Linked DNA regions of Lonchura striata. The protein of the gene in region 1 purifies or fractionates together with the protein of each later gene. This does not show direct contact. Links are inferred from orthologs where the notes say so. Each region holds a gene or a part of one and is shown on either strand. Other genes may lie near its edges. The genes, in order: SMARCE1, DPF2, BCL7A and BCL7B.

What was found.
Region 2: the proteins of SMARCE1 (region 1) and DPF2 purify together in Homo sapiens (affinity purification with mass spectrometry; 9 studies listed by BioGRID and IntAct, counting the BioPlex papers as one, with this or other methods). This does not show direct contact. The link is inferred for Lonchura striata from reciprocal best matches to the Homo sapiens genes SMARCE1 and DPF2.
Region 3: the proteins of SMARCE1 (region 1) and BCL7A purify together in Homo sapiens (affinity purification with mass spectrometry; 4 studies listed by BioGRID and IntAct, counting the BioPlex papers as one, with this or other methods). This does not show direct contact. The link is inferred for Lonchura striata from reciprocal best matches to the Homo sapiens genes SMARCE1 and BCL7A.
Region 4: the proteins of SMARCE1 (region 1) and BCL7B purify together in Homo sapiens (affinity purification with mass spectrometry; 3 studies listed by BioGRID and IntAct, counting the BioPlex papers as one, with this or other methods). This does not show direct contact. The link is inferred for Lonchura striata from reciprocal best matches to the Homo sapiens genes SMARCE1 and BCL7B.

Annotation. Positions count from the first base shown.
Region 1 is NC_134627.1:6,813,725-6,821,182, reverse strand, and holds the start of SMARCE1 (SWI/SNF-related matrix-associated actin-dependent regulator of chromatin subfamily E member 1), read right to left. Parts: upstream 3,001-7,458; 5' UTR 2,877-3,000; intron 2,145-2,876; 5' UTR 2,101-2,144; coding exon 2,094-2,100; intron 1,582-2,093; coding exon 1,538-1,581; intron 1-1,537. UniProt on the Homo sapiens protein: Involved in transcriptional activation and repression of select genes by chromatin remodeling (alteration of DNA-nucleosome topology).
Region 2 is NC_134638.1:227,756-235,060, reverse strand, and holds the start of DPF2 (zinc finger protein ubi-d4), read right to left. Parts: upstream 3,004-7,305; 5' UTR 2,939-3,003; coding exon 2,907-2,938; intron 536-2,906; coding exon 375-535; intron 1-374. Other genes in the region: uncharacterized protein LOC110478861, read right to left, coding at 6,459-7,305. UniProt on the Homo sapiens protein: Plays an active role in transcriptional regulation by binding modified histones H3 and H4. Is a negative regulator of myeloid differentiation of hematopoietic progenitor cells. Might also have a role in the development and maturation of lymphoid cells.
Region 3 is NC_134620.1:12,285,027-12,292,000, forward strand, and holds the start of BCL7A (B-cell CLL/lymphoma 7 protein family member A), read right to left. Parts: upstream 3,002-6,974; 5' UTR 2,866-3,001; coding exon 2,774-2,865; intron 1-2,773.
Region 4 is NC_134622.1:786,560-794,145, forward strand, and holds the start of BCL7B (B-cell CLL/lymphoma 7 protein family member B), read right to left. Parts: upstream 3,019-7,586; 5' UTR 2,969-3,018; coding exon 2,877-2,968; intron 2,564-2,876; coding exon 2,488-2,563; intron 1,770-2,487; coding exon 1,673-1,769; intron 771-1,672; coding exon 534-770; intron 329-533; coding exon 249-328; intron 1-248. Other genes in the region: TBL2 (transducin beta-like protein 2), read right to left, coding at 3,646-4,102, 5,051-5,203, 5,831-5,957, 7,074-7,225. UniProt on the Homo sapiens protein: Positive regulator of apoptosis. Plays a role in the Wnt signaling pathway, negatively regulating the expression of Wnt signaling components CTNNB1 and HMGA1.

The DNA.
Region 1 (7,458 bases):
GCCACTGTTTTACTACAGTTTTTTGTATTACCATAACAACAGGCTTTGAATATGTTGAACTACAGCTCTTCAATAAAACCAGGTGACAATTGTAATCGCCGTCTGCTTATTTCTTTATTTCTGCAAGACAGGATTTAAATGTTACCAGGAACTACCTTACATCAGGGAGAACTGCACGGAGAAATTTTATTTCAGGTACAGTACTGCAGTTTTGAGAATTACTGAGATTTTGTTGACTGCAGCACCTGGAACTGGCTGTGGAAGAACAAGCAAGGTTATTTGGCTACTTTGTGACAGAGCAGAGACCAACACATGAAGGACTGTATAAAATATAATACAAAATAAAAGATGCTTGTAAAACAGGCAATGCAGGTCACTGGTTGCAGTCCTGGCATGTGCTTCATGTATCCTTCTGAAGAACTGTACCACATCAACATGAACCATTAAACATCTGTATTCATGCTATATCCCAAAGGAATCACATGTGTATGCACAGCTCTCGATGCAGGAATCCAGTGGTCAGAGGGGATCCATCATGGTCCTTCTAACACTGCCACAGATCTATTTTGCTGTGTGTAAAATGAAAACTCTGAGCAAACTATGAAAATCCAGTTTTATTTATATAAACTTATAAAAACATAACTTGTATTTATGTACTATATAATTTTCGAACCTCTTCCTGTAAAATATGGCACAAAAAATTTGAAGGATCACATTCCTTCTAACTCCCATCCTGCAGAGATCAAGGACACACTACTGGGTCACAGTCTTCCAATTCACTTTGGTAAAAAAAAAAAATCACTGTAGAATCTTTCCTCAACCTTCTGTACAAAGGATTTCTCCTAAAACTCAAACTACCCACAAATGTGACCAAAGATGTGCATTTATTTTCAAACAGTTCCTGCCCATGGTACACTGCTACTGCAGCACCTTTGTACATCCAGGAATGTCACTGGGCGGGATACAAAGCTCCTGTTCATGTTTTCCTCAGTGTCAGGGCATGCCACTTTACTAGAAAGTAAAATATTTCCCATGCCCTAGACTCCAAAATACCAGTGATTTCAAGGAATGCAAGACTGGCATCAGGAGTGTTTCATTATTCTGATCCAATACAACAGGATGCTTCATAATCCTGCATTCCACTCAATTGGAAAAAAAAAAAAAAGCAGCTCAGTACAACTGAACTGTGGAAAAATGCACTGTCTGCCCATGATCTGGGCACAGGCTGAGTAGGACATTTTACAATCAAATGTACCAGTTGATTCTTAACTATTCCAGTACTGCTGCAACCCACTGTGAGTCACTTGAGAGAAGTAATGCTCACAGAAAATTCAGTCTGTAAGATCCAGCCTTAGAGGCAAAACAAGTTTATTCGGCTTCTCTTTCCCAAACTTCTCAAAAATAATTATATTAATTTAAACAATTCATAGCACATTAATATCGTGTTTCCCATATTGGAAGGTGATGCAACTCCCTAATTATTGTTCTGGGAAGTTACTAAAGGCCTTGTGTTAATGAGAAAAATCACTATACTTACGGTTGCAGGAGCTGGGGTGGGAGGTGGGGCATAGGATGGCCTTTCTGTTAAGACAGAAATGTAAGCACATTTTTTTTTTCCCCTTGAAAATCTAAACGAATTCTTAAGGCATCTGCTATGGCCAATATTTTCAAATGATTTTACAAAACAAGCAAATTTTACTCTGAAAGACTTTGCCTTTTGCCACTGAACAGCAAAAAGCAACACTAGAAAAAGAAAGAAAAATTGAAATGCTCCTATTACTCTAGTCCCAGACTTTTGTTCAAGCACAAGACTGAAGAATATGAAATTCATTTATATGCACATCAATTACATGGAGGGAAAGCAAAAATACAGTCCAATAGGACTCAGAAGCTGTGATATCTGGATTTCCTACAAAAACAATATGCCAGGAATTGGCCACAGAAGGATTTAAGGCCAAGAGTTTAGTTACTACACTTGCTAATTTCTTTTAATGCCAGGAATAATGGCACCATCTCACAAACAGGTTCCACGGAAACAGATCTGTAAAACATCAAAGCTAAAGAAAGAAAAATCTTAAAAAAAAAAAACTTACTTGACATTTTGATAGTCAAATTTTCAGCCACCTGACATTATATTTGTACTTCTGCAAGACAAAAGAACAACATGCTAATAAGTGTTGTGCCTTTCCCCCCACCAGTTATTTGAAGCTTCGATTGTTATTGATACCAGTGATTATAAAAGTTCGTCAATTTTGGAATACAGACAAAAGCATTCTCAGAAACCAAGTTGTTATCTCTTTGAAAAATTAATGGATTTTCCAAGGAATCTAAAAAGCTGTGTAAGAGCACACAGCTTTAGGTCACCTTCATATTAAAGGGTCTAAATGAATATATTTTTTGCTGTAAGGAATAAAAAGAACATATCCCATTATTTTACACTCACTGATTCAGAAATCTGATATCGATATGTAAATGACCAAATTATGTATTTCCTTTACAGAGTACATACAACAACCACCGAGCCCCGCAGCTGCGGTCTGACAGGCAATTCTTAACCTTTTAGCACCGAACCCGGGAGCCCGTCAAACAGCGCTGTAACGAAGTGCCTTTTCGCCGTTTCTCTCCAAATCACGCCACGGGCAGCTGCAACCTCCTCCAGAATCCCTACTAACGACGTGCACCGGGCTCGCACGTAGGGCTGGCTTGGGAGATCCAGCAGAGCCTCTGCGGGCCCAAGGCGGCCACCGGCGGGGTCCCTCGGTCCCACCACTCCCTCCCCGGGCTCAATGGTCTTCCCGAGCCCCGCAGCGCTGCCGGAGAGGGGCCGGGGCCGTCCCGAGCCCCCCGGCCGGCCCCGCCGGGCCCCTCGGACTCACCCGCTCGGCGCGGCCGCGCTCCCTTTGTTCCCACGGGCCGGGGCGGCGGCGACGGCGCCTGCGCACTCCGCTCCGCACTTTCGACACGCGGGCCCCGGCCCGCCGGTGATCCCCTACTCACTATGGGGGGCCCTCTTCGGCTGCCCCGCGCCCCACCGAGGAACCAGGGCCGTCCCCGCACCCTCCGGGATAGCGGCGATTCCAGGGGCCGCGGCGAATCTGCGGGATGCAACCCGAGCGCCGCGCGCGGGGCGGCACCGCCCGCCATTAGCGGCACGGAGGCGCTGCCTCGCGGGGTGTCACAAGGGCTCCCGAGGCGCCCTAGAGACGCAGTGCTCGTCCCCTTCCCCCGCGCCGGCAACCCCGGTCACGGTGCCCCGAGTGCTGGCTGCCGGTGGCGAATCTGCAGCGCAGAACGGGCGCGCAGGGACGGCCTGCGGACGCTTCGTGCCCGCTGCGCTTTAGAGCCTTTTCCCCCTCACGGGCTGCGCGCGGCCCCTGAGGCGATTTTGGCGCCTTTTCCCCTCACGGGCTGCGCGCGGCCCCTGAGGCGATTTTGGCGCCTTTTCCCCTCACGGGCTGCGCGCGGCCCCCGAGGAGATTCCCCCTCACGGACAGGTACCTGAAATGTCCTGGACCCTGGGCTGCCCTGAGTCCACGGAAAACGCTGCGGGGTCATGTCCGAGCCCGAATAATATCCAATAAAAGCAGCGATGGAGTCAGGTGAACCGTCCGTGGTCTGTGCAGAGTGTGGTGCCGAAAGGGCTGTTTGGGATGCTTCCAGAGGCGGCTGAGTGGAGCAGGATGAGCCCTGAGGGCAGCGGGAAGGTGCCGGTGTGGGAGAATGTCAGTGGAAGGGACGTTAGAGACGGCTGTGAAGGCAGCGAGATGGCCCCGGGTAATAAATATGATAATATGTGATAATTGTCAACTAAATCAGCCTGACCAACTCAAAACACTCTGCTGCTGAATCAGACAGGATTATAAAGTACCCAGTAGTCTGGGAGCAGTGGAATTGTCCACAATTCCTTGCAGAAATCAGCGAAGTTATCACACATAGGTAAAACCCCCACAAATACCAAACAAGGTGAAGCATATGGCTCTGAGGGTGTGAGGAGGATGAAGAGTTCCAGACCTCAGCATTCAGCTTTAAGAGTCTTTTACACTGAAAATAGTCAAAAGTGACTGAATTAAATATGAAAACTTTGGCAGTGAAACTTGAAATTGAAAGTTTGATGTTGAATGTTTGAGGTTGAAATGGAATGTTTGGCATTGAAATGGTCTCACGTGGCCAATAAGATGTATTTCTAGACATTCATGAGGGAGAATTTGGGTGGATCCGAAGGAAAGCCAAAGGAGATGGTACCTGCCTAACCCAAAAGGATGATAGAAGGTGAAAAGAAGAAAAACTAACTGAACATGACTTGCTGCAAGTTGGGGCCATTTTTCTTGATGCCTGCCAGTTCCACTGGCTCAATTTGTTTTTATGCTTAAATACACTTATTTTTATGAACAAATAAAGAGACAAGAGCTCTGCCCTCATCTGCTTAGATTCTGCTGACTGTACCCACAATGGACATTTGTTGCCATATAGCAGAATAATCTGTGACTTCAATTTGATATTAAAGCAAGAGTTGAAAAGGTTCCTCAGCCAACGAAATACAACACATTAATTCACCATCTTAACTGGGGCAGGAAAAGGTAAAGAAAAGGTGAGAAAATACATGTAAGAGGTGAAAGATAACCTGGTTTTCCTCCTGCTTTTGACTAGGTTCACCCTAGTTTCATACATTCACTTCTAGTTTACTAATAACATAGTTTTGTTGATAGTGTAAATTGCATTTAATGTTAAATTAAAAATTGAAAATTTGCAATTTCTATTAATTATTTTAACTTTTGCTTTAATTTTAAAGCAAAATTTTAAAATTTGAATTATTTAAAATGTGTTTATTTTTAAAACGGAATTGTTTATTGTGGTGTTCAAGTACATTTGTGGAAACTGACATTCCATACTAATAGTTCTAAATCATTATATTTTCAAAGCCATCAGTGTATTTCCTACTTTGTTTTATTCCCCCTTTTTTCTTCCTATGCTCTTTGCCTCAGTTCCATCATGTGATAGTGAAAGGTTTTACCAGCGTACACTTTTTAATATCCTGTACAATATATAAGTAGTTTTACTGATTTAATGGAATTGTTTACACTGCACTATGCTCACCAGCGGGGAATGTAAAAACTAATTCTTACCCAACAGTTTTAATTACCAGCAATTTCACAAGCTTTGGAATGAGGACAGACATTCACTGGGAAGTAGATTGAGACAATAAAACTCGTTTTTACATCAGCCGTTTGCAGGTGCTAGTTGGCAGAGGCTCAGCTGGTCTGGATTTAATTAGAACCACAGAAATTAAGACTTCTCTGCCACAGTATTAAGCTTCAGTGTTAATTTTTTTTTTTTAAATTCCACTTTAAAGTGACCTAAAAATGAGGGTGAGATGTTATTATTTTGATGCCTATGTGGAGTTCACGCTGATACTTGTGGAAGCCAACTACTTTGTGAACAAAAGAGAGTTCTTTACATTTGGAGAGATGGAATTTGTGAATAATGCAAAAATAGATAATTACTGAAAGATGTGAAAACTTAGTTAAAACCAAAATGCCCACTTGAACCAGGCCTAAAGTAGGAGAAGCTACTGAAGTCAGTGTTAGGAAGTCACACATGAGGAAAATAGCCAGGGTGACTGGATTTGCCAGGAAAAAAGAGTAAGTTTTGTAGCAGAAGGACACTCACATGTTATGGTAAAGATTCTGAGGGAATTTGTGTCTTTCTAATTGTGGAGAGGATCAGAGAAAACACTTGTTACAGTGCTACAGATTTTCCTATCTGCAACTTTTATTTTGCATTTTTCTTTTACTTTCCACTTAAGGAGAAGACATTGACACACACAAAATAGGCATAGAGAAACTCCATTTTAATACTTTTTTTTTTATTGTAGTACTATCATTTACTTTGGTAAATTTGTATCCCTGTTTAAAGTGCCTTAAAGCAATTAAAACTTAGTTTAAATTCAAGTATTGTAAAATGTACAGAGTCTAAGCACAAAAAAAAAAGCTGCATAGTGAAAATACTGGAGCAGGCTGATACATTCAGGATGCCAAGTACTCAAGTGGTAATAACATCAGCTCATGATTCAGGTTAAGGATAATTAGCGAGTTTGATACAGTACAGACAGGATGGGGCAATATTGATGCATTGTTCTTACCATGAACAAAGGATAGAAGCATAGATTAACTCTGAAAGGATCTGCAGTATCACTTTTGTGCACATGCCATAAGTAATAAGGCAGATACTGACACTGAAATCAATCCTTTACGTGCTGTTGTAATCCAGCAAATCCTCTGTGTGGATTCTCCAGACTCTGAGCCCCAGCAATCCCGGTGCTCCAGTGGGAGCAGTGACATCCATCCTCTTCAGAATCCTCACAAATAATCATTGTTGTCTTCATACAATCTTGTTTGAGTCTTTGTTTGAAATTTGTCCTGTAAGGTTTTAAAGAAGGATGGCTGTTCCTCTGTGTACCGGTGCAGGGTTTCTGTTGGGGTTTGTGTTTGCCCACAGCCACTTTGGGTAGGAGTGGGGAGTACTTAAGGGGTCTGGTTGAATTGTACTTTGAATTTGTAGCCCTTATTTTGCCCAGTCAATTTGAAGTAGTAACAGTTGTACCCTGGTGTAACAGTGACTTGTCACATGGACAAAATCAACAGTATCACTTATCGGTAGTGTTTGTCAGAAGAGAAATTTGTTGAAGATATTTTAATGCACATTGTTATAATAAAAAAAAATGGAATAGCAGTATTCAAATGATCGTTTCATTCCTCCCATTTGAACAATAAGAGAATAATTTCATTTGCCTTGGCTAAGAGACTTGTAGTACAGATGTGTGTGGACACATAAGAAAATGATTGATTTTTCAGGGGAAATTACTGCTTCAAAATCAGTTGAGCAATATGGCTAAAATGTTACTGGATTGTAACAACACTTTTAAAATGGATGTATAGGGATGTAGAGGTAAGATATTTTTGCTCAGTTGTTGCCTGAAAAAAAGGAATTTAAAAATACTAGCCACTTTTAAAAGAAAACTCTTTGTTAATAGTTCATGTATTTTAAGAGTATTTTCATATGTAATTTTTGCTGTTAGAAAGTATTATTTTAAAATATATTTCTAGAAGTATGACAGCTGTGATATAAATTATTGCAAGTATTCACCAGTCATTATATGAATGGAATATTGAATAATTAAGAGAAGCAAATAGGCATTTCTCATTTTTGGAAAGAGAAAACAAGTTCTCTTTTACAAAGGCAGAATATGTCAAACTATAAAGTTCTAGTTTAATTTTTGTAACACTTGGTGAAAATCTACAAAACAACAACAATGAGAATATGAAAGGGCTGCACCCAGAGTATAAAAGCAGTAGAAGTTTGGGTTTCTTGGAATCAGAACCCCCTTGCTGTTCACCCTTTCTTTTGAAGGACTTAAATGGTTTTATTGTATCGATCCAAATGCTTGGTAAGATGTGTGGT
Region 2 (7,305 bases), on another chromosome or scaffold:
ATAATTTCCCTGTTGTTTCCCCATCATTTCACCATTGTTCCCCATCATTTCCTCATTGTTCTCTATCATTTCCCTGCCATTTCCCATCACTTCCCCGCCGTTTCCCCACCATTCTCCCATCACTTCCCCACCATTCTCCCATCACTTCCCCACTGTTCCCCATCACTTCCCCACTGTTTCCCATCACTTCCCTGCCGTTTCCCATCACTTCCTCACCATTCTCCCATCACTTCCCCACTGTTTCCCATCACTTCCCTGCCGTTTCCCATCACTTCCTCACCATTCTCCCATCACTTCCCCACTGTTTCCCATCACTTCCCCGCCATTTCCCATCACCGTTTCCCCGCCGTTTCCCCGCCGTTTCCCCGCCGTACCGGGCCCGCGGTGCCGTTTCTCCATCCAGATGTAGCAGTTGCTCTGGGCCACGCCGGTCTGCGAGTCCAGGAAGGGCAGGCGCACGCTGCGCTCGGCGCAGAGCCGCGCGTTGTAGCTGTGGCACTGCTCCATGGCGTCCCGGTAGTACTGCTCGCCCAGCCTGCAACGGCACCGCGGCACGGCGGCGTTGGCGCCGGGAACGGCGGGATTGGCGCTGGGAACGGCGGGATGGGCACAGGGAACGGCGGGATGGGCGCTGGGAATGGCGGGATGGGCGCTGGGAATGGCAGGGATGGGCACAGGGAATGGCAGGGATTGGTGGTGGGAACGGCGGGATTGGCGCTGGGAACAGCGGGATTGGCGCTGGGAATGGCAGGGATGGGCGCTGGGAATGGCAGGGATGGGCACAGGGAACAGCGGGATGGGCACCGGGAACGGCGGGATGGGCGCTGGGAACGGCGGGATTGGCGCTGGGAATGTCAGGGATGGGCACAGGGAACGGCGGGATGGGCACGGGGAATGGCAGGGATGGGCGCTGGGAATGTCAGGGATGGGCACAGGGAACGGCGGGATTGGTGCTGGGAATGGCAGGGATGGGCACAGGGAATGGCGGGATTGGTGCTGGGAATGGCAGGGATGGGCACAGGGAACGGCGGGATTGGTGCTGGGAATGGCAGGGATGGGCACAGGGAATGGCAGGGATGGGCACGGGGAATGCCGGGATGGGCAAAGGGAATGGCAGGGATGGGCAAAGGGAATGGCAGGGATCAGTGCTGAGAGTGCCGGGATTGGCACCGGGAATGCCAGGATGGGCACTGGGAATGGCAGGGATGGGCATGGGGAATGCCAGGATAGGCACTGGGAATGGCAGGGATCAGTGCTGGGAGTGTTGGGATCGGCACCGGGAATGCTGGGACTGGCACAGGGAATGGCAGGGATGGGCACGGGGAATGCCGGGATGGGCACAGGGAATGGCACAGGGAATGGGAGGGATTGGCAAAGGCAATGGCACGGGGATTGGTAGGGATCAGTGCTGGGAACGCCGGGATCGGCACCGGGAAAGGCGGCATGGGCACGGGGAACGGCACAGGGAATGGGACGGGGAATGGCAGGGATGGGTACAGGGAATGGCGCAGGGAATGGGAAGGATTGGCACAAGGAATGGCAGGGATTGGCACCGGGATTGGCAGGGACGGGTACAGGGAATGGGGAACCTCTCAGGGATGTCAGGGATACCAGGGGAGTGTCAGGGATACAAACGGAGAGACTCGGGGATAAAATCCTGGAGAATATCAGGGATAAACCTGGAAACCCTCAGGGACAAAATCCTGGAGAATATCAGGAATAAACGTGGAAATCCTCCGGAATAAAGTTTCCAATTTCCCATTCCTTGGCTTCTTCAGGACACTCTCACAGGGGCGGGAAGGGAAGAGATGAAGCCAAGGGATGGACAGGAAAACACAGGGATTTACAGGAAATACGGGGATTTACAGGAAATACAGGGATTTAAAGGTAAATACAGCAATACACAGGGAAATACAGGGATTTAGAGAGCAATACAGGGAATTAGAAGGAAGCACAGGAATATACAGGGAAATGCAGGGATTTCGAGGGAGATACAGGGATTTTGAGGGAAATACAAGGATTTCGAGGGAAGTACAGGGAAGCTCCCCCCAGCTCGGCCTCCACAGGACCCTCTGGCAGGGATGCACAGGGAAGCAGTGCAGGAATAAGCAGGAAGGTACAGGGATATTCAAGCAGTGCAGGAAAAAGCAGGAAGGTACAGGGACATTCAGGGATATTCAGGGACATTCAGGGATATTCAGGAATATTGAAGGAGGCACAAGGACTCTCCAGGGGTGCACAGGGAAGCAGTGCAGGAAAAAGCAGGAAGGTACAGGGACATTCAGGGATATTCGGGGATATTCAGGGATATTCAGGGATATTGAAGGAGGCACAGGGACTCTCCAGGGATGCGCTGGGAAGCAGTGCAGGAAAAAGCAGGAAGGTACAGGGACATTCAGGGATATTCAGGGATACTGAAGGAGGCACAGGGACTCTCCAGGGATGCGCTGGGATGACTCCCCCGTCCTTGGCCTCTCCAGGACGCTCGCAGACGGAGTTTAGGGCCACACGAGGGAGCACAGGGAAGCACAGGGATACGATCCAGGGAATTTTCCAGGGGCGAACCCCCGCCTTTGCCCTCTCCAGGACCCCCTCAGGGCCAGACTGCGGGACCCCCCCGGCCCCTCGGGACCCTCGCAGGCTCTGCTCTCCCCTCACACCTCTGCGGCCCTCCCGGTGCCGGGGGAGGATTTTGGGGTGTCCTCAACGCCCCCCTCAGCAAAGTTCACGGCGAACAATGCGCGCGTGTCGCTTCCTCCCCACCCCCCTGCCCGCCCGCTTGGTCCCGTCCGGCGCGCGCGGGGCCAAGGGGGGGCCCCGCTTCCCGCGCCCGGCCGGGCCGCACCATTCCCGCGCCGCGGGGGGGAGACCGGCGGTGTGCGGGGAGGGGGGGGAGCCGCACTCACAGCTTGACCACATTCTGAACCACCGCCGCCATCTTGGCTCCGCCGCCGGGGCGCCGCGGGGCGCGTGCGCGGAGGGAGGGGCGGGAGGGGCGGGGAGGGGGATGATGGAGGAGGAGGAGGAGGAGGAGGAGGAGGAAGGAGAGGGATGGAGGGAGGAGGAGGAGGAGCGGGGAGAGGGAGGGTGGGGAAAGGGGAGGCGGAGGGAGGGAGAGGGAGGGCCGGGGGAAGGGAGCGCGGAGTCCTCCCGGCCGCTGGGGGGCGCTGTGCGCCGCGCGCGTGCGCGGGGGGGGGGGCGCGAGAAAAGGCGGGAAAAGGGGGAGTGGGGGAGGGGCGAAAGCCTGAGGGGAAAAATGGCGGGAAAAGGATCTGAGGGGGGAAAATGCACGAAAAAGGAGAAAATCCGGGAAAAAGGGGCGGCTGAAGGTACGGGGAGGAAGGGAGGGCGTGGGGATGAGGGTGGGAGGCAGAGTGGGGGATACGGGGGGAGACTGAGGGGAAAAATGGGAGAGAACAAAGCACGAGAGTGAGGCAAAAATGGACAGAAAGTGAGGGCGGAAATGATGGCAGAGGATGAGGGGGTTTATCGTGGAAAAAGGAGATTTGAGAGACCGCACTGCTCCCTAGATTCCCTGGAATGGGGCTGGGGGTGAGATCCCTTCTCCCCATGGATAAAACAAAAGGAACAGCCCCGAGTTGTGTCAGGGGAGGTTTGTTCAGGAAAGTCCCTGGAAAGGGTTGTCCCACCCTGGGGTTATCCCAAAAAAAGCCGGGATGTGGCACATGGGGACGCTGTTCAGGGGTGGCCGGGTTGGATTTTGATGATCCCAAAGGTTTTCTCAGCTTTTCCATGGAATGGGGTGAGAAGAGGGAGGATGGGGAGGGATGGAGGAAGGAAGGGATAACATGGAAAGAGGGGTGAGGGTTGGGAGGGAAATGAGGGATAAATTGGGGATGGGGGAATGAAATGAGGGATGAACAGCTGGGAGAGGGGAAATGAGGGATAAATTGGGGATGGGGGAATGAAATGAGGGATGAACAGCTGGGAGAGGGGAAATGAGGGATAAGTGAGGATGGATCCCTCAGATCCCCCCAGATTCCTTACGGCTCCTCATCCCCAAAAACTCCTGCCAAAAGTTCCCATTGTTGAGCTCTTTTCCCTTTTTCTCCAACCTGAATTAACCAAGTGTCCCCAAATTCATCCCTCAGGACCGAGGTCACCCACAGACCCCACGGCGAGCGTGGTTTGATGGCAGCTTCCAGGTGAGTTTTCCTTTCCAGGTGAATTCCTCATTTATTTCCAGGTGAATTCCACATTCCAAGTGAGTGCCTCAATTCCAGGTGAATTCCCCATTTATTTCCAGGTGAATTCCTCTCTCTTTTTCCTCCTTATTTCCACATCCTACCTGGGTTTTTTTTTCCCTGTTTGCTGGGAATTTGCGTTTCTCCCCCAAGGTCACCCCCTGGTCAAACCTTCCTCCTCCTCCTCCTCCTCCTCCTGGTAATCCCAGGCCGGCTGTTGCTCCGGCTCCGTTCCCGGCTCCGGCCACGCCGGGGGTCAGGCACTGACCGCTGGCGTGGGCGGCGTTAATCCAGCGGAAATCCCGGGATAACGAGGAAATTGGGAGGGAGGCCTGTGCCCCTGCTGGGGTTAATGAACGATTCCATCCTTGATTGAATCCGGAGTTATTCTCCAAAAAGGGAGGGGGAGCTGAGTCAGGGCTGCTCCGGATGACTCAAATTCTTGGAATTGGGAGCAAATCAGCAGCTGTGGTTTGCATAAATCATTAATTCGGGGAGTGATTAATTAGGGGAGAAGTGAAGGAGGCTCCAATTCTGTGGAAAGGGATCCCAAATGATTTATTCATTAATTAAAAGTTAATTAAGGAATTTGTTTTTTTTTTTTTTTTCAGGAGATGAGATTGAGGGAAAAAAAACATTTCAGGGATAATAACACTAATTTTGGGGATAATTTCAGGGGTTTATAGCAAGTTGGTCTGGGGGGTGTGGGAGGGAGGGAAGAGAGAAAGGAGGGGAGGGGGGGAGAAAAGCAAAATCACCTTTTCAAGGTTAAAAAAACCCCAAATTTGATAAATTAAAGGAGCTTTTCCAGGACTGGAGCAGAGAGAACAGAAACGAGTGAACGAGATCCCAGATTAAAGCTGGAGCACCCCAAAAGTCAGCCCTGGGTTGTGGAAGGGAAAAAACCGGGACACAAAAGGGACAAAACAGGAAAAAAGGGGATTTTGGCTGATTTTGATTATTTCGAAACCGCTCCGGCAGCGACGGTTTCGCAATTCCTGGGCCGAGGTGGGGCACAAACAGCTCCATCTTCAAATCACTGATTAAGGTGGAAGCCAGGAAAACTGGGGTGAAATCCAGGAAAAAAAGTCCATCCACATTGTCCCAGCCCAGCTCGCGCTGGAAAACCCCCAAACCACAGAAATCCACCCAAAATGAGCCGTGCTGGGCTGGCTTCCCTTCACGTTGGTCCGAGTGGCAGCTGTGGCGTGTCTGGAGCCACCTTCCCATCCCAATCTCTGGGGTTAATTAATCACAAATGTCCCGAGGGTTAATTAATCGCAAACGAGGCTCTGAAACGGCTGGAATTGATTTGGCGAGGAAAAATCCCAAAATAAATAAAATGTGGACAGAGTGTGGGGGGAGAAAAGAGTTCAGAGCAGGGAAGAGTTGGACCAAATAGAAATTAAACCTGATCGAGCCCAATCAACCTCGGTCTGCTAATTATTTTACAGACGAAAACGTTGGGAAATAGGTTTATCCCCAAATTCTGGGTGTTTGCACCAAAAGCGGTTTACCGACGCAGAGGGGGAGGGGAAGGAAGAGGCGGGACAAGGGTTCGTTAAGGAGAATCTAATGAGTCATTAGTCAGATAATCTAAATTAGACTCGCTGGTCAGGAGGGGCCCGACTCTGCCCTGGGGGGATCCCGGCCTCATTCTGGGCTCAAACTCCCCGGAATCGGGAAAAGATGGAATTTGTGACAGGAGCCTGGGCAAGGAGGCCCCGCGAAGTCACCGGCAGCGTGTCCAGCTGGGTTTTTGTCCCATTCCCCAAAATCCAGCTGGAATTCCCCGTTCCCGCCGCTCCCAAACAGTCGGCGGCGGATCCGTCGGCCCGGATCGGGATTTTGGGTTGGTTTTGCGTCTCCTCGAGGATTCCCAGCCCAGCCCCGCTCCTGCCGGCCCCAGAGGGGTTTTTTGGCCCCTCCGTGGATTGAGTTCCTAAAACAAGAGCCCTGCTCCTCCACGGGGACTTTTGGCTTCTCCACGGGGAGTTTTGGCGAGATCTCCCGGGGGAGATTGCCCCGTCTGGGATTTCCAAAGGATTTCACGGAGCAGGAGTTGAAGTGACGGCGCCGTGACGGTTCAGAACAAACCCCGCTGCGCCCCCAAATCCTCCTGGCCGGAATCTTTGGGAATTCATCCCAAAAGAGGAATTCATCCCGCGGGGTCCGACGGACACGGGGTCGCGTTTCCAGTGGTCAGCTCTGGCACTGAGGAGAGCTCGGGGGTTCTGCCCTGAGGGCGAACCCTCACCCGGCGAGAGGAAAGGCGGAAAATGAGCTGGAATCCAAGCTGGAATCCGAGCTGGGATCCGAGCTGGGATCTGAGCTGGAATCCGAGCTGGGATCTGAGCTGGGATCAGAACTGGGATCTGAGCTGGGATCTGAGCTGGAATCTGAGCTGGAATCTGAGCTGGGATCCGAGCTGGAATCCGAGCTGGGATCCGAGCTGGGATCTGAGCTGGGATCTGAGCTGGGATCTGAGCTGGGATCTGAGCTGGAATCTGAGCTGGAATCTGAGCTGGGATCCGAGCTGGAATCCGAGCTGGGATCCGAGCTGGGATCTGAGCTGGGATCTGAGCTGGGATCTGAGCTGGGATCTGAGCTGGGATCTGAGCTGGGATCTGAGCTGGAATCAGAGCCAGAATCTGAGCTGGGATCTGAGCTGGGATCTGAGCTGGAATCAGAACTGGGATCTGAGCTGGGATCTGAGCTGGGATCTGAGCTGGAATCAGAGCCAGAATCTGAGCTGGGATCTGAGCTGGGATCTGAGCTGGAATCAGAACTGGGATCTGAGTTGGGATCTGAGCTGGGATCTGAGTTGGGATCTGAGCTGGGATCTGAGCTGGGATCTGAGCTGGAATCAGAACTGGAATCCGAGCTGGGATCCGAGCTGGGATCTGAGCTGGGATCTGAGCTGGAATCCGAGCTGGAATCTGAGCTGGGATCTGAGCTGGAATCCGAGCTGGAATCAGAACTGGGATCTGAGCTGGAATCCGAGCTGGGATCTGAGCTGGGATCTGAGCTGGGATCTGAGCTGGGATCCGAGCTGGGATCTGAGCTGGGATCCGAGCTGGGATCTGAGCTGGAATCAGAA
Region 3 (6,974 bases), on another chromosome or scaffold:
GTATTTCCCCCCATTTAATAAATCAGACTTTGACAAAAAACAAGAGTGTCTTCAGTATTTTTCTAGTACTGGTTGAGGGCACAATAGTTTTTGTCCCTCTCTTCTTGAGAGCCCACTTGGAATCTACATGTACCCATCAACTTTTAAAGCCAAAAAAACAATCCTGTACCATTAATTGAGACAAAGTAATCTCAGAGGATTTTTTAAAATAGACTGACAGAAGAATTTTAAGTACTGGTAAAGAAAGGTAGAATTGTTCACTTACTGTGGAAATTTAACATTTCTGCCACACAAACACAAGGCAACCATGTATTCTGTAAGCCACGTGCTGCGTGTTTTCCAAAACAGATGCTCATTCATGAGCGTGGTTTAAACAAAGGAGATAAGGTTACAGTAATCTCACGATAAAAACATAACAACTTCACTGTTTACTACTAAGTTCCAGCAATAACCAGAAGTGCCACGTGCTCTGTGAGCAGACAGGAAGACAGAGGAGCTGCATCCAAGTGCTGGCTGTCCAGGAACACTGATTTTCTGAGGAACAAAGTCTGCCCTGATGGAAGCTGCCCTCCAGCAGGCACGTTCACATCCCTGTGGCAGCACAGGGATTCGGGAGCACCAAGCACAGGTGGATGATGCCTTGGATAAAGCCATCCTCCACTCGGATGAGTTCCCAGCCCCGTCTGTCTCCCTGCCCATCCCTGGCACGCACTGCTCTGAGCACACAAGTCTCACAAAACTCTCTTCTAGGAAATGCTGGACGCAAGGTATTTTAATTTTCAGTGGCTGCATTTCCACAGAAGAGCTGTGGATGGCAACAAATTGCTCCTATTATGCAAATGAAACTGCACACTTGGAAATTGCCGATGTGGCTCTTCTGAAGATGCAGGAATTGCTAGTGTGGAAAGTTCAATTTAACAAGCCAAGTCTTCTCAAAACACTGAAACCACAAAACACAGAATCTCTCTAGCTAATTTCCCGCTGTATTTGACTGCAGGTGGAGGGGGGGTAACCATGAGATTCAACTGCAAATTATGATTCCTTTAAAAATAAGAAATTTGCTTTATGTAAATACTTGTGAGGTGCACGCACAAAAAGTCATATTGATACTTCTGACAATAATCAACAGAAACACTGAATGACTTACAGGAACCCTCTACAGCAATTGTCTATCGTGAAGGTTAAAATGTAGAGAAATCTATTTATACCACAAGATTTCTGTTTTACAGAAAGAGCCATAGCAACTGGCATGATGGCAGAGAGTCCTTGCCAAGAAAAAAATAAATAAATTAGGTATTTTGTTGAATGGCCAAGCTTCTGTCTCTACTCCTCTCTGAATTCCACAAACCAGGATTCAAAGGGAGCGTGCAGAGCTCATGAATGAAATACCTACAGACAGAACAGTCCCACACATCCAACCACGCTCCAGCTGGAACAAAAGTCCTGTCACACCGCTGCACATTGTTCTGACCTTCCAAAGCCGGCCCAGCAGTCAGCAAACTGCACTTAAAAACAAACCCGAGTAGAAGAGAGTTCCTGAAACCACCCGAGCTGCTCCGGCTCCCTACACAAAGGCTGGATTCTCTGAAATCCCCGTCCCGTGCCCGGTGCTCCTGGACACACGTCCCGGTCCCGATTCTTTGTCCGGCTCACGCCAACGGGCCCATTCGTGTGCTCAAAGCCATTTAAAACTTAACAAACCATTTCACTCTAATACGAACACGTTCAACTCTATCTTTGGCTCTTTTTTTAACGAAAACAAAGCGTTAGGTGAGGAGGACAATAGAAGTGTCCCCTTGATTTCAAACCTGCAAACCAGCTGAATGATGCACAGTAACAATAATGCAAGGAAATTTCCTCGTGGATTCCAAACGTTTAAAGGAAGTATTTTAAGATACATGCACAGAGACTGCTGAACAGTCAGGCAACTTGCTGGAAGAAAGATTCACTCTTGAGTCACAGCGGCACTGCTCTTTATGCCATCCCAAATCCCCGGACCGACCATGCAGAGCACGGCGCGACCGCTGCACTGTATTGTTTAAACACCTCGTGTGGGTTTTTCTAACAAAAGCAGGGGGAAAAAAGACAAAAGCGGGGAAATGCCAAAACGCGCTGAAGGCCTAACAAAAGGGACTTACTTCACACGGGGTATAACCTATAATTTGATGATTTAAGAGAGGTTCCAGGGGCAGTTCGCGCTCTCTCCCGTAGAGTCAGTGGGAGACGATCGCGCTCGGGTTTGCTGCGCTTTTACGCACAAACCCCGGGAACTCGGGAGGTGAAATCAATCCACAAACAGGCAACGACAAAAAATAAACTCTCGGGAGCTTCAGAGGGGTATTCTTAACGTGTTTTCTTTTTTTCCAGAACACTTCTCCGAGCACAATTTCCACCCAGAAGAGCGGGCGGCGGAGCCACCCCGGGCCCGCTCCTCGGGCCCTTTGTAGGGGCCGGCGGCGGGAGGCGCCCGGCCCGACCCCGCCGCCCGCCCATGCCCGAGGCGCCCGGCCCGGGCCCCGCGGCGAGGGGCGGCGGGCCGGGGTCCGCGGGGAGCGGCGGGGGCGGCGGGGAGGGGGCTCGGCCGCACAATGGAGCCGCCTCTCGCCCTCACACGCCGCCGCCGCCTTCATGTGACTCGCCGGAGCGAAATGGCTGCTGGGTGCCGCCGGCTCCCCGCCCCCCGCGGCCGCCGGCGAGCCCCGGAGCCGCGCGGGGCCGGCGCGGGGCGCGGGGGACGCGGGCGCGGGGTCCCGGCGCGGCGCGGCCCGCTCACCATTTGCGCACTTTCTCGATGGCCGCCATCACCCGCTTGATATCATCCTTCGCCCGGCTCCGGGTCTCGGCCCGCACCGACCGGCCCGACATGCTGCTGGGGGGCGGCGGGCTCGGCGGGGAACGCGGCGCTCGGCGCGGCCGGCGGCTCGGTCCGTGTGTCGGGGCGCCCGCCCGCACAATGCCGGGGCTGCGCGGGGCTCGGCACGGCTGCGCTCGGCGGCTCCGCTCGGCTCCGCCCGCCCGCCCGGCGGGGCCCGCGCTCCGCGCACGCGCGCGGCCGGCGGGGAGGGGCGGGGCGGGCGCCGTGAGGGGACGGCGGGCGGCGGGAAGAGCGGCGGGGCCGTGAGGGAGCGGAGCGGGCTCCGAGCCCCGCGCGGCCCTGCGGAGGAGCCACCGGGCGGGAAGGAGCCCCCGCGGGGGAGAACCGGGAGGCGGCCGCCCGCCCCGCGCGCTTCCGGAGTTCCCGTCGCTGGTTTGCCTCGAGCGTTCGCTGGAGAGAACACAAGACAACGTTCTTTCCCCACTCCCACCCAGCTCAGGCCGTAAGTTACCCCAGAACTAAAAAGTTTTGCCGATTTCAGCTCGCCTCCACCCTAAAGGGTCAGCAGGAGCTGCCCAGGGAGGCGGTGTAATCCTTTAGAGAAAGACTGGATGTGGCACTTGGTGCTATGGTTTAGTTGACAAGGTGGTGACCCGTCAAGGGTTGGATCCCACAGATCTTTTCCAACCAAATTGGTTCTCGTGATTCTGTGATAATCCAACGCAGTCTAGCAGCATCAAGAGCTCAGTTACATTTTACCACAAAGAAAAATCCAGTCCTAAAATCCAGGGTTTTTACAAACCTCAAAACACTTTACATAGAGATAATACCTATTTTTGTACAGGGCAGTGACAAACATCCATCCTATCCTTGCACCAGTTGCCATGACAGACCTTGAACATGGGTATGTGTGATGAAGTCCCCTGTTTTACACGAAGCATAAATCCATAATCAGCAGATTTTAGGTTTGTTTCCCCAGTGGTTATAAAGTTTCTCAGCTGCTTTAACTAATTCCAGCAATATCCATTGAATTGGGCTGCTTTTGAGCAGTGGAGGCTCAGCTCCGACAGAAATCCATGGAATTACATGAGCATAAAGGCTAAATGAGTTACATGGGAGGTGATGCTCTGCAGGAAATTTGTCACAGACCTGCGAGCTCTGGTGTGGTACTGCTGGACTCCTTCATTAACTTCTCCCTAATGCACACCTTGCTGTTGTTGCTAATTGTACAATCACAGATGCTCTGAGTACACAACAGCGATCTCTGTTTAAAAAACATTGCTTCTGAAAGGAACGCTTCTTAAGGGCCTACATTATTATTCAAATTGATGCCAAGGATGATGTAAAGAAGGAAGCTGTTCAACAGCACTTCACTGATCTTTCTACAGCAACTTGTATCAGTCTCATTATGCTGTTTATACACACACAGAGTAATGCCGTCCCATTGGTATTACACTGCTAATTGGAATCTCTACTTTCAGAAAGAAAAAGTCAGTTTAAAGGCCAAAAGAGAAGCGTGGTTTTAATGTGTACCACAGCATTTATTTCTTTACCAAGGTCCATTGGATTTATAATTACAAATCCATTCTAACCTGTCAAAGCATTTATCAATGTATTTAATCAATACAATACTCTTACGTTGCTCTTTTGCTGTCAGGTTTCACAAATGAATACTGTCTTAACGTAATGAAAATAGACTGCATCTGGCATAAACCCACCTGAAATGACTTCTGGGAATGTTCCAGCCAAGGATGGAGTGGCCACCTGCTTCATTCTTTCCAGCCATTCAATGTTTCCCTATATAGGTGTGAAATTACAGGTTTGTGGCATGGCCCAAACTGGGGACTTACTCTAGAGTTTGACTGAAATTTAACTATGTGACCTTTACTTTGCAATAAACACAAGCCATAAATTTTGCAGATATTTGAGGAGAGGATCCTGGAAAGTAGGAATAAACAGAAAATCTAGTGGTCGCTAGATTCTGTGCCTTTGTAGATCAAAGATTCTTCTTTTTCCTTGTGTTCTTTTTTTCTGGTTCAGCAATAGGTAAGCCAAGAATGTCTGCAACAAATATCTCTGCTGTGATTTCTGCTGGAATTTCTTCTTCAATCAAAGCTGCTGCACCTGGAGAGCAATAACAGCATCAGAAGACACACAAAAGCCATGTCAAAATTGCTCTCCAGTAAAATTTATAAGCAGCAATAAGTGAATGAAATGTTTTTAAAGATGTACAAAGAGATCATGACAAAGTGACAGTTTACTAGCTTGATACTTTATGTGTTTATATCAGGAATTAAGCCTGTCAAATCTGTGTGTCTCACCTTGCAGCAGGTCCCTGCCTCAGACGAGTCATGGGACAACTTTAACACTTGGTCAATTTAATGTGATTTAGGATCCTGAGGGATCCAGGGATTTCAGAGTTTCAAAGTTCCCTTCAGGAGCAGCACCTTTGCTGCATGGCGCCCATTGCCAGTGACCCTAAACAGATTCTGTTCCAAACTGGTGGGGACTGGGACATGAATTGTACAAAAATGCAGTTCCAATTACAATGGGCAATTAAATTCAGCCTCTTGGCTCAAATCAATGCTATAATTTGCTGTTCCAGACTGGTGTGGACTGGGACATAAATTGCAGACAAATGCTCTCGTTACCAACAGCTCTGTTACAATGGGCACTGCGGCCTGGGTGAAACCAGCCCTGGGATTTCCCTGTGTGTTTCTAATTTCAGTTCCAGCCAGCAGATAAACAGCAATGTAATCTTGTCAGGCCCTAGTTATAGTTCATTGTCCATTTATTTTTAGATACACCCGTGCAATTGCTGCGTGGATGAAGGACAGTCTGTAGCTCTGTGACTATTTTTGCAATCCCATCTGAGCAGCTTTGACAGCTCTTGGCCTAACAGGGTAAATGGGTTTGAAATTTAAATTATTCCATTTGGGAATTAAACAGTCCTGCTTCTCTGCTGTGTGGAATGCTAATCCTGTACCTGTGGGATCGCAGGTGTCCAGTTCAGATCTTTCTTTCCTGGGTCTCCTGCCCAGCAGGGTGGTCAGACACTCAGCCAGCTCGTCCTCTGTCATCTGCTCCCCTGTACAAAATGGAGCACCACCACCGTTGGGTTATGGGGTCAATAGCACAAAAACTCAAAAGCAACTGCAATTAAACTAAACAGGACAGTTCAAAAGAGGACCTGGCTTCTCTGAGATAGAGACATATACAGTGCCAACTGAAACACATGATTCCAATGCAGGAAAATGTTGATCCTAAGGAAAATTGTCTTCTCTATAGCATTTTGGGGGAAAATGTCAATCAAAAGAAGAAATTATGATGCAGACTGCTCTTTAAGCAACACTGTAGTAGCAGGGGCTTGAGCTTCTCTTCCCACTGGAGAATTCCTGGCAGAGACCACAGTCCATGTAGCCATTTTCATGCAGAGGAAGAGAAAGGTGGAGAAAAGTCTTAATTTAGTATCTTGAAATAACATGGACACAGCACTTGTTCCCAGTTAGTGGTTGGCTCACGCCCTGGAGCATGAGGTTATAGATCTGTTATGAAACTGTTCTATCTGATGTACCTATTTATGGATGTTCACACCATCTGTATAAATAGCTAACCTTTCTCACACTGGTTGAATCCGTGGTTTCCAAGGATCTTTGTGGCAAGGAGTCTTGCCAAGTGATGTACTGAGTAAATCAGCATTTCCCTTTACCTGTTTTAATGCTCGGCTACACTTTTACACCAGAAGTAAGACAATAGAAGTTTGTTATTAGCACTCTATGGCACTGGCCACAAACAAATTAACACCCACGTTTATGGTGTTCTCCCTGATTCAGCTCAACTGAATCATCCCATCTTTTCAGTCTTTCACACTGGGTGCAGCCTAGGACCAATTTCATCCCTCCTTTCTTGTGTCCCTTTTATCCATTTTATACTACTTTTCCAGAACCTGTGTGACTAGAAGAGAAAACAGCAATTCAGATAAGGGCACACTGGGAGAAGGATACATTTTGCCAAGATCCATACTTATCATTTAACAGCTGAGATACCTCAGGCCAGCAGAGATTTCCAGAGCAGTAAAAGAAGCACAGCTGGGACAAGACAAGTGATTATTCAATTTAAAATCTGAAGGCAGGTGGCTCCTCACGCCTGCCCTGGTTAC
Region 4 (7,586 bases), on another chromosome or scaffold:
CTGCCAGAATTGTAGTTTTCGCACACCCCCATATCCTTCCCTCACACTTCAACACTTGATCTGAACCAGGGGATAAAGACCAAAGCTCAGAAAACCAGGAGGTTCTGGGAGCTCCCAGGGGGCACTTTGGGACTGCAGAGCAAGTCCATCCACCAAGATGCTTCAGCTACAAGAAGTAGCAACAATGGTCAAAGGGCCAGTCTGGGTCCAAGCACATTTAGAGATGGCTTCAATCCCCCTTCCCTTACCTGAGTCTCAAGAGGGACTGGCTCTTCCTTTGTGAGAGTGGGAGGCTCATCTGCCACTTCTGAGGAAGGCAGGGAGGGCTCTGGGGAGAACAGGTGGGTCAACAAAAATGCAGAGCCAGCACCCAGCTCAGTGCTGAACCAGGATAGAACACCTAGCTACAGAAGTCCCCGATGCCCTGGTAGCTTCCAGAAGCGCCAAGGCCACCCACCAGACCTGCAACAGCCCTGGAGTGGCCTTCCCTGAGCCCACCCATCTGCCTGCTCCCTTCTTGGCCCAGCACCCACCTTCCAGGGTCTCCTGCCCCAGGGTAGGAGGCTGCGAGTCATCCGTACGGAAGTCAGACGTGTGGGCAGGACTCATAGACTCACTCTGCTGAGGACTGGGGCTGGAGTTGGGGCTGCTGTCCACCTTGAGCTGGTATACATCAGACAAGGAGCTCTGGTTGCTGTTCTCATCTGCAGAAACAGCACCTGGTGAAGAAGAGCACCTTGACACAGCGGCACAGGCAGCCCAAGGTCCTGCTGAGATGGCAGAGCATGGTCAGAGAGTTAACCAGGGGATTCACTGTTCCCCGTCAGCCTAAGGGCTGTCAGGCACAGGACTGAGTCCTCCAGAACACAGTGGGAATCATATACATAACTGGCCATGGCAAAGGGAATGTTCCTGCCCTGGGAATGAGAACTGCCAAATTCCACATCTGCAGCTTGGGAGGGCCCTGGGCATCCAAAGAGCAGGAATCTCCTGCTCTGTATTAGGGTTTTGCTCCTTCTCTGTGAAGCAACACAAGGATTAATACTCAGCACCTGTCTCCCATGAGAAAGCAGGCCTGACACACACCTTGCCAAACTGCAGATCTGCAACATAACCCCACCACATCTCCTGAAGTGCCAGCAAATTCCTGATTTTCCTTAGCCACACACAGAGAAGGGGTTGGGGAGATGTGTACATTCTATTTCAGCAGTGAGTCTTGCTCTGCCAGAGCCTCTCCTGGCTGCACCACAGTGCCTAGACCAAGAGCAAGGCCACGGAGAGCCATTGCCCCTTCACCCTAAGGTCCATGGAAATAACTGTTGGAAAAGCAATCTTGGCTACAGGTGGCTACTGGACTCTCCCAAGCAGAGAATGGAAAGGGGTGATCAGGAAACCCCACTCCTCTAGTCAGCTGTGAAGCTTCCCACAAAAGAGTCCAGAAACAGCCCATTAAGAATCTCTAACAGCAAAAAGGAACAGTTTAGACAGAAACAATCCAGAAGTGGATCAGCCCAACTCCACAGCTCAACTTCATAGCTCTCTAGTCCACACCAGTGCTCAGAGGCAAGCACTGCTCTTCTCCATACAGGCAGCACAGAGAACCAGCAATGTCCCAGCTGCTGTACAGCCTTGGAGTCTTTCCCCATGCTGAAGGGAGCTCAGCCAGACCCACCTTGGAACTCCAGAAGGAGGGAGGAGTTGGCAGAGGTGTCAGCTGGGAAGCCATTGGGTTCTCGGGCCGTGCTGCTACTTGATTTGGATTTCTCTTTCTTAAGGAGAGAAAGAAAAGCACAAACACAATGTCAGAGAAACACATGCTGCTCCAGAGGAGCCATTCCCCTTTCTGTCTCCAGAAGCCCAGAGAGATGTGCTCAAGCTGGCCTTTTTCCCTTGCCTTTGGGGGCACATTCCTAAGTGAGAGGAAAAAACTCCATCTATGAAGGGACTGGAAAGCAGGAAAAGAGAGGAGGAGCAGACGCCCATCTAGGAATGACACTGAGTAAAGCAAATCCTTGGAGGAGTCAAGCAAAGAGTCTTAAGGGAAGCAGGAGGGGGCTCAAGGGAGCTCAGGGGGCTTGACAGTTCAGGGGATGCTCAGGTTGGCTGAAGGGGCCTGTTGGGGCTGGGAGGGGGGCCCAAGAAGGCTCGACAGGGACTTGGTGGGGTTCGGGGTCAGCTTGGGGGGGGATCAGGGGCTTGGGGGCGCTGGGAGGATCACAATAGGACAGGAGGGGCTCGGTGGGGCCTCAAAGGTCCTCAGCAGGGCTGGGAGGGCTCAGCGGGGCCTCAGGTGCTGGCTTGGAGAGGGCTCAGGGATCGACCTGGAGGGGACTCAGGGGGGTTTGGCGGCGTTCGGCGGAATCGGGAGGCTCAGGGATGGCTCGGTGGTCGGTAGGGCTGGGGAAGGCTCGGAGCTCAGCTGAAGTTAAGGGAGCTAGGCTGGCTGTGGGCGGTGGCTCCTGGCTCGTCTCCGCGCGCGGTACCCACCTCCTTACTGTCCGCCACTGGCACCCACTTGAATATCCGCAGGGACGTGTCACCCACCGTCACCCATTTCTTCTCCCTGCGAGACACGAGGGGGCCGGGCCGGGCCGGGGCACCATGGCAACAAGCCCCGCCCCCCGCCACCTTCCGGTTGGTCCGGAGCGCCGTCAGTTCCGCACCGGGCGGGCTGCCCCGCCCACCGCACTGCCATTGGCTGCACTCAAAGCCCATCACAGCCGCTTCCGTCCCCGCCCCGACCCCATTGGCCACCGCCCCTCCGCCCGCACCCGCTGGTTGGGCGCGCACTTCCGAGTCGCACCCCGCGGCGCGGCGATTGGCCGCGCGCGGGCGGCGCGGCCCTCCCCCTCCCCCCCCCGCGGGCCCGCCCTCACCATCTGCGGACGCGCTCGATGGCCGCCATCACCTTCTTGATGTCATCTTTGGCGCGGCTGCGGGTCTCGGCCCGCACCGAGCGCCCCGACATGGCGCGCGCAGCCCCGCAGCACCGGCCCCGCCGCACCCGCCGGCGCACCCGGCCCCGCGCACGCGCACTGCCTGGCCCGCCCGCGCGCTGCGCCTCCTGCGTCACCGCGCCCGACACGCCCCGGCTGCTGCGCCTGCGCAGACGCACGCGTCTGACAGCGGGCGCGGAAACGACGCGCGCGGGAAGCGGCGGTGCAGCGGTGGTTTCCCGTGGGGCACGTCCCGCTGCTCGATTCCCCCGAGATCCCGGGCCGAGGGAACGGGGCCACCCCGAGTCCGCTGCACCGTTACAGCACTGCCCCGTTCCCTGCAGCTGAATCCCTACCGTTCAGTATCAACACTGAACTTTGTCAGTTCTCTTGGAAAAAAAAAAACAAACGAAACAACTAACCATAAAACCTACCCCAAATGCACGCAACTCCCAATTCTAAGCTCAGGAGAACTCATAGGCATTGCCTTAGCAATCAATTCCATGGGATACTGATGATCTAAGCCCTGAGGGGAAAACAACACATGAATGTGACACTAGGAGATGCCACTGTCCCCAGCCCTGTCTTGCCATCACAGAGCACGCAAGGAAGAACCTGGGCACTCTGTTTATTATTGCTGTTCACAGTTATTTAAAAAAAAATAACACCCCCAAGGGAGAGTGCAGTTGCCTCCTGCTGTACAGGTAGCTTAGTACTTCTTGCCATAGATAGCAGCCAATGCTTTGTGAGCGCTGGAGATCTGCTGCTCCAGCCTCTCCTGCATGGCTTTGTTGCCAGTTTTTTTCAGCATGGCCTCCATCTCCTCCACCACAGCACGATGCCCAGCAGCGTTGTGGAAGACATGGATAGCACGATCCCCACAGGACACGATATAGCGGCCGGTGGTGTCAAACACAAGGTCTGTGACACAGTGGCTGTGCACGCCAAGAAAATGCTCCTCCTCCTCACCGTGCCGTGTGTTGTACACCACGATGTCTGTGCCGCCCGCCACGGCGACCGTGCGGCTGTCAGGGGACAGGGCAATGCGGCATGGCTCCGGCACTGCACACTGCCCTGTCAGAAGCAGATATGGGTCCTGCTGCTTCTTGTACTCCACATCTGTGTCCCAGAACTTCCATGTGCCATCCTTTGACACGGTTGCCATCCTGCAGCCAAAAGAGATCACGGTGAGTGTGTGGAAAAAGGGTGGCACCTCTTACCCTGCCCTGCCCATGAACCAGGAATCCTGTGGAGAGAGATCTCTTGGGAAGGGTGAGTCAATACACAGATACAGTCTCTGTTCTCTTTCCAAAGCAAAAAACCTACTACTAGACCAGGCTGCTCCAAGCTCCTTCCAATACAGCCTCAAACACTTCCAGGGATGGGGCAGCCACATCTTTTCTGGGCAACCTGTGCCAGGGCCTCACCACCCTCACAACCAAGGCTTTCTTCCTAATGTCCCACCTAACCCACTCTCCATCAGTCTGAAACAATTCCCCCTTATCTTGTCACTTCAGGCCCCTGTAAATACTGTCTCATCTTTCTTGTCAGTTCCCTTCAGGTCCTAGAAAGCCACAATTACATAACCTGAAACCTTCTATTTTCTAGGCTCAGCAATTCCAATTCTCTCCACCTTTCCTCATACCAGACCTGCTCAATCCCTCTGATCATGTTGGTGTCTCCTCTAGACTCACTCCAGCAGCCCCGTGTCCTTCCTGTGCTAAGACCCCAGAGCTGGAGGCAGCTCTGCGAGTGGGGTCTCACATGAGTGGGGCACAGGGGCAGAATTTCCCTCTCCTTTGTTACCCATGTGCTGTTTCTGGGCTGGGTCATGTCCATCTCTCACCTACCAGCACTCCCAGGCTGCTCTCAGTCTGTTCATCCCCAGCCTGGATTGATACCGGGGGTTGCCCTGATCCAGGTGCAGCATCAGCACTTGGTCTTGTTAAACCACATGAGATTCCTATGAGCAGGGAATACATAGGTGGCATGAGCTAGATTTGGCTCCCCAGGGTAGTGTTTTACCCCCTGCAGTTTAGTGATGCAGCTGGTGAACCCTGGAAGAGATGAGCTTACATGTTGTTAGGGTAACTCGGAGCAGGTAACACACATACCTTCTTGAGTCATTGGAGAAGGAAAAGGATTGTACACCAGCAGTGTGGCCTTTCAACTCAAAAGCCCTGGTCACCTCCCTGAAGTCTCCGTTCTTACTAAAATACACTTCCCACACTTTCACATCAGGGGTAAAGCCACAGGATGCCACAAACCTGTGTGAAGGAACAGAAGCAGAGACACAGGTTGCCTCTTAGAGAGAACCTGAGCAAGGCAGGGCCACAGTTCTGCAAATCCATCCTGACTCCTGCACTCAAGCTGAATTTCCACTTTTCTCTGAAACCTAGCTGGTAAAGGGAACACTAAGGAAGGGTACCAGAACAACTCAGGAATGAGAAACTCTTCGGTCAAAGTAGAAGAGCTAAATGCTATGGATCCCCAAACTCCTCATGCCAGGAGCAAGGCAAATCCAGCTACAGCAGCAAGTGATTTTCCCAATTAACAGATTTCCCAGGAAAATAATCTTTATTTTTATAATTAACCTTTAAGAGGTCACAGACAAGTTCAAAATGCTGTTTTCTTTGCAGAGGGCATTTGCTCTGTCCCACCCCTGCTACCTGAGACCAAAGCTGCTCTCAGGTTACCAAAACAGCAGTGCTGAGGCAGAATAGCAACACAAGAGTGCCTGACCCCACATCAGCTCCATCTCCTGGAGGGCCAAGATATCTTTTTAAACTGTGGAACCCTCAGAAAACTGCATTGCAATAACAATTAACTGCCAATGGTCTGAACTGATGCTATGCTGTGCAAAAGAGTAGCCTGGAATCCTGCCTGTCACTCACCTCCCACAGGGTGACACTGTGGCATAGGCATTGTTCATCTGGTTGGTGTTAATGCTGGCCAGGACTTTGCCCTTTGGGCTCCAGATCAGGATGGTTGTGTCACTGGAAGCTGTCATGATAAACTTCCCTGGGGAAAAAAAGGCAAAGTTCAGGAGAGCCCCCAGACCTAACACTGCCACAGACTCAATGAAGCCCCAGGATAACCTCTCCCTGCAGCTGGAGAAAACCACCAGCAGCACCAAAATCCAAGGAGTGTCAGTCTCCTAGGACAGAGTAAAGAGCAGTATCAGAAGACTCAGCTCCTGGTTATGCCTGAGTAGTCCCCTGGCTCCCAAGCAGGCAGCAGGCACTGAGCCCATGTGTGCCCTATACTCAGGACTCTGAGCCCCACAAGCAGAGCTGGGAGCCCCATGTGCAGCCCCACTGGGCTGTGCCACATACAGGAACAAACACTTCACCTGATCTGCATGCCCAAAATCAGCTTGAGGATAAGCACCTTTCAAGCTATGGATTGCAGGCAGGCAACTGAATCCCAGTCACAACCATGATCCACAGACCACGATCCATTATTGCTGGTTGTGCCCATACTGGACTCCTGCTTGTTCCCATTTCCCCTTTGCCACTTCAGCCCAGGCAGGGAGTTGCCTGTTTACCTTCCAGCTACTTGTTGCAGGTTTAAGTTTTCACTTTCACACCCCCAGTTTCAGTTAATATTTTACCTGACCTCCTATTACAGAGGTGAATTCACATCCACCTGCTCCCAACTGCCACTGGCACATACCTGACACATTAATCCATCAAGCCCTCACCACTAAAATGTAATTTCCACCCACCCACCCCCACCTCTGTTCTAGATGATCCCAGAAGCTCAAGGTAGACCATATTAACTCACTAGAGAGATTTCTCACTGGTTAAAGAGAGACTGGCAGCCCAGAGAACAGCAATCCTCTCAATATTGAGGCCAGACCTCTTTGCAACAGCATCTCTGAAAATGTAAATTAAGAAACTGTGCATATCAAGGAGCTGGTTACAGGGATATTATTGGTGTGAAAACAACACCTTTTGGTTCAGTTGGTAGCAAATTAAGTAAAAAAATCCCTAATAGACTACAGAGTTTAGTACAGAGTTTAGTACTGATGCTGTACACAGCCCCGAGAATGCCAAAAACTCCAACACTTTGAATCAAGCAGCTTCACAAGGAAATAAAAGCTTATCTGGAGAGGTGAGCAGCTCATTTCCATACCTGTCTCTGCAATCCCTATGTTAATGACAGGAGCCTTGTGCTTCTTTGGGAAGTCCCCAGAAGTCGCAGTGAAGGTGAAGCTGCCATCATCCTTCTTGGTCATCTTGTAGACGCGAATAGTCTCAGCATTGGCCAGCCAGACAATGAAAGCCCTGTGGAGGGACAGGCTCTGAGCCCCAGCTCAGCCCAGGTCACTCAGGGGCACCTGGGAAGAGGGATATGCTGCCAGATGAAAGTATTTACAAGGGCACCAAGTTCTCTCCCTGTGTTGGTTCAACTGCAACACTGAATGAAAAAGAATGAAATTTATTATCCATACGAGGAAACAAGATCCCTTTCTCTCTTTCCAGAAGAGACCACTTCAAAAAGCCAAAACACATTCTTCCACCAAATTTCCCACCCAGCAAGAGCTCCCCTGGCCACTGGAGAGACTCAGTAGCACATTGCAGCTGCAGTCAGCTGGCAGTGACCTCAACAGATACCTTCCATGGGGGCAGCAAGCTGTGCACAGGG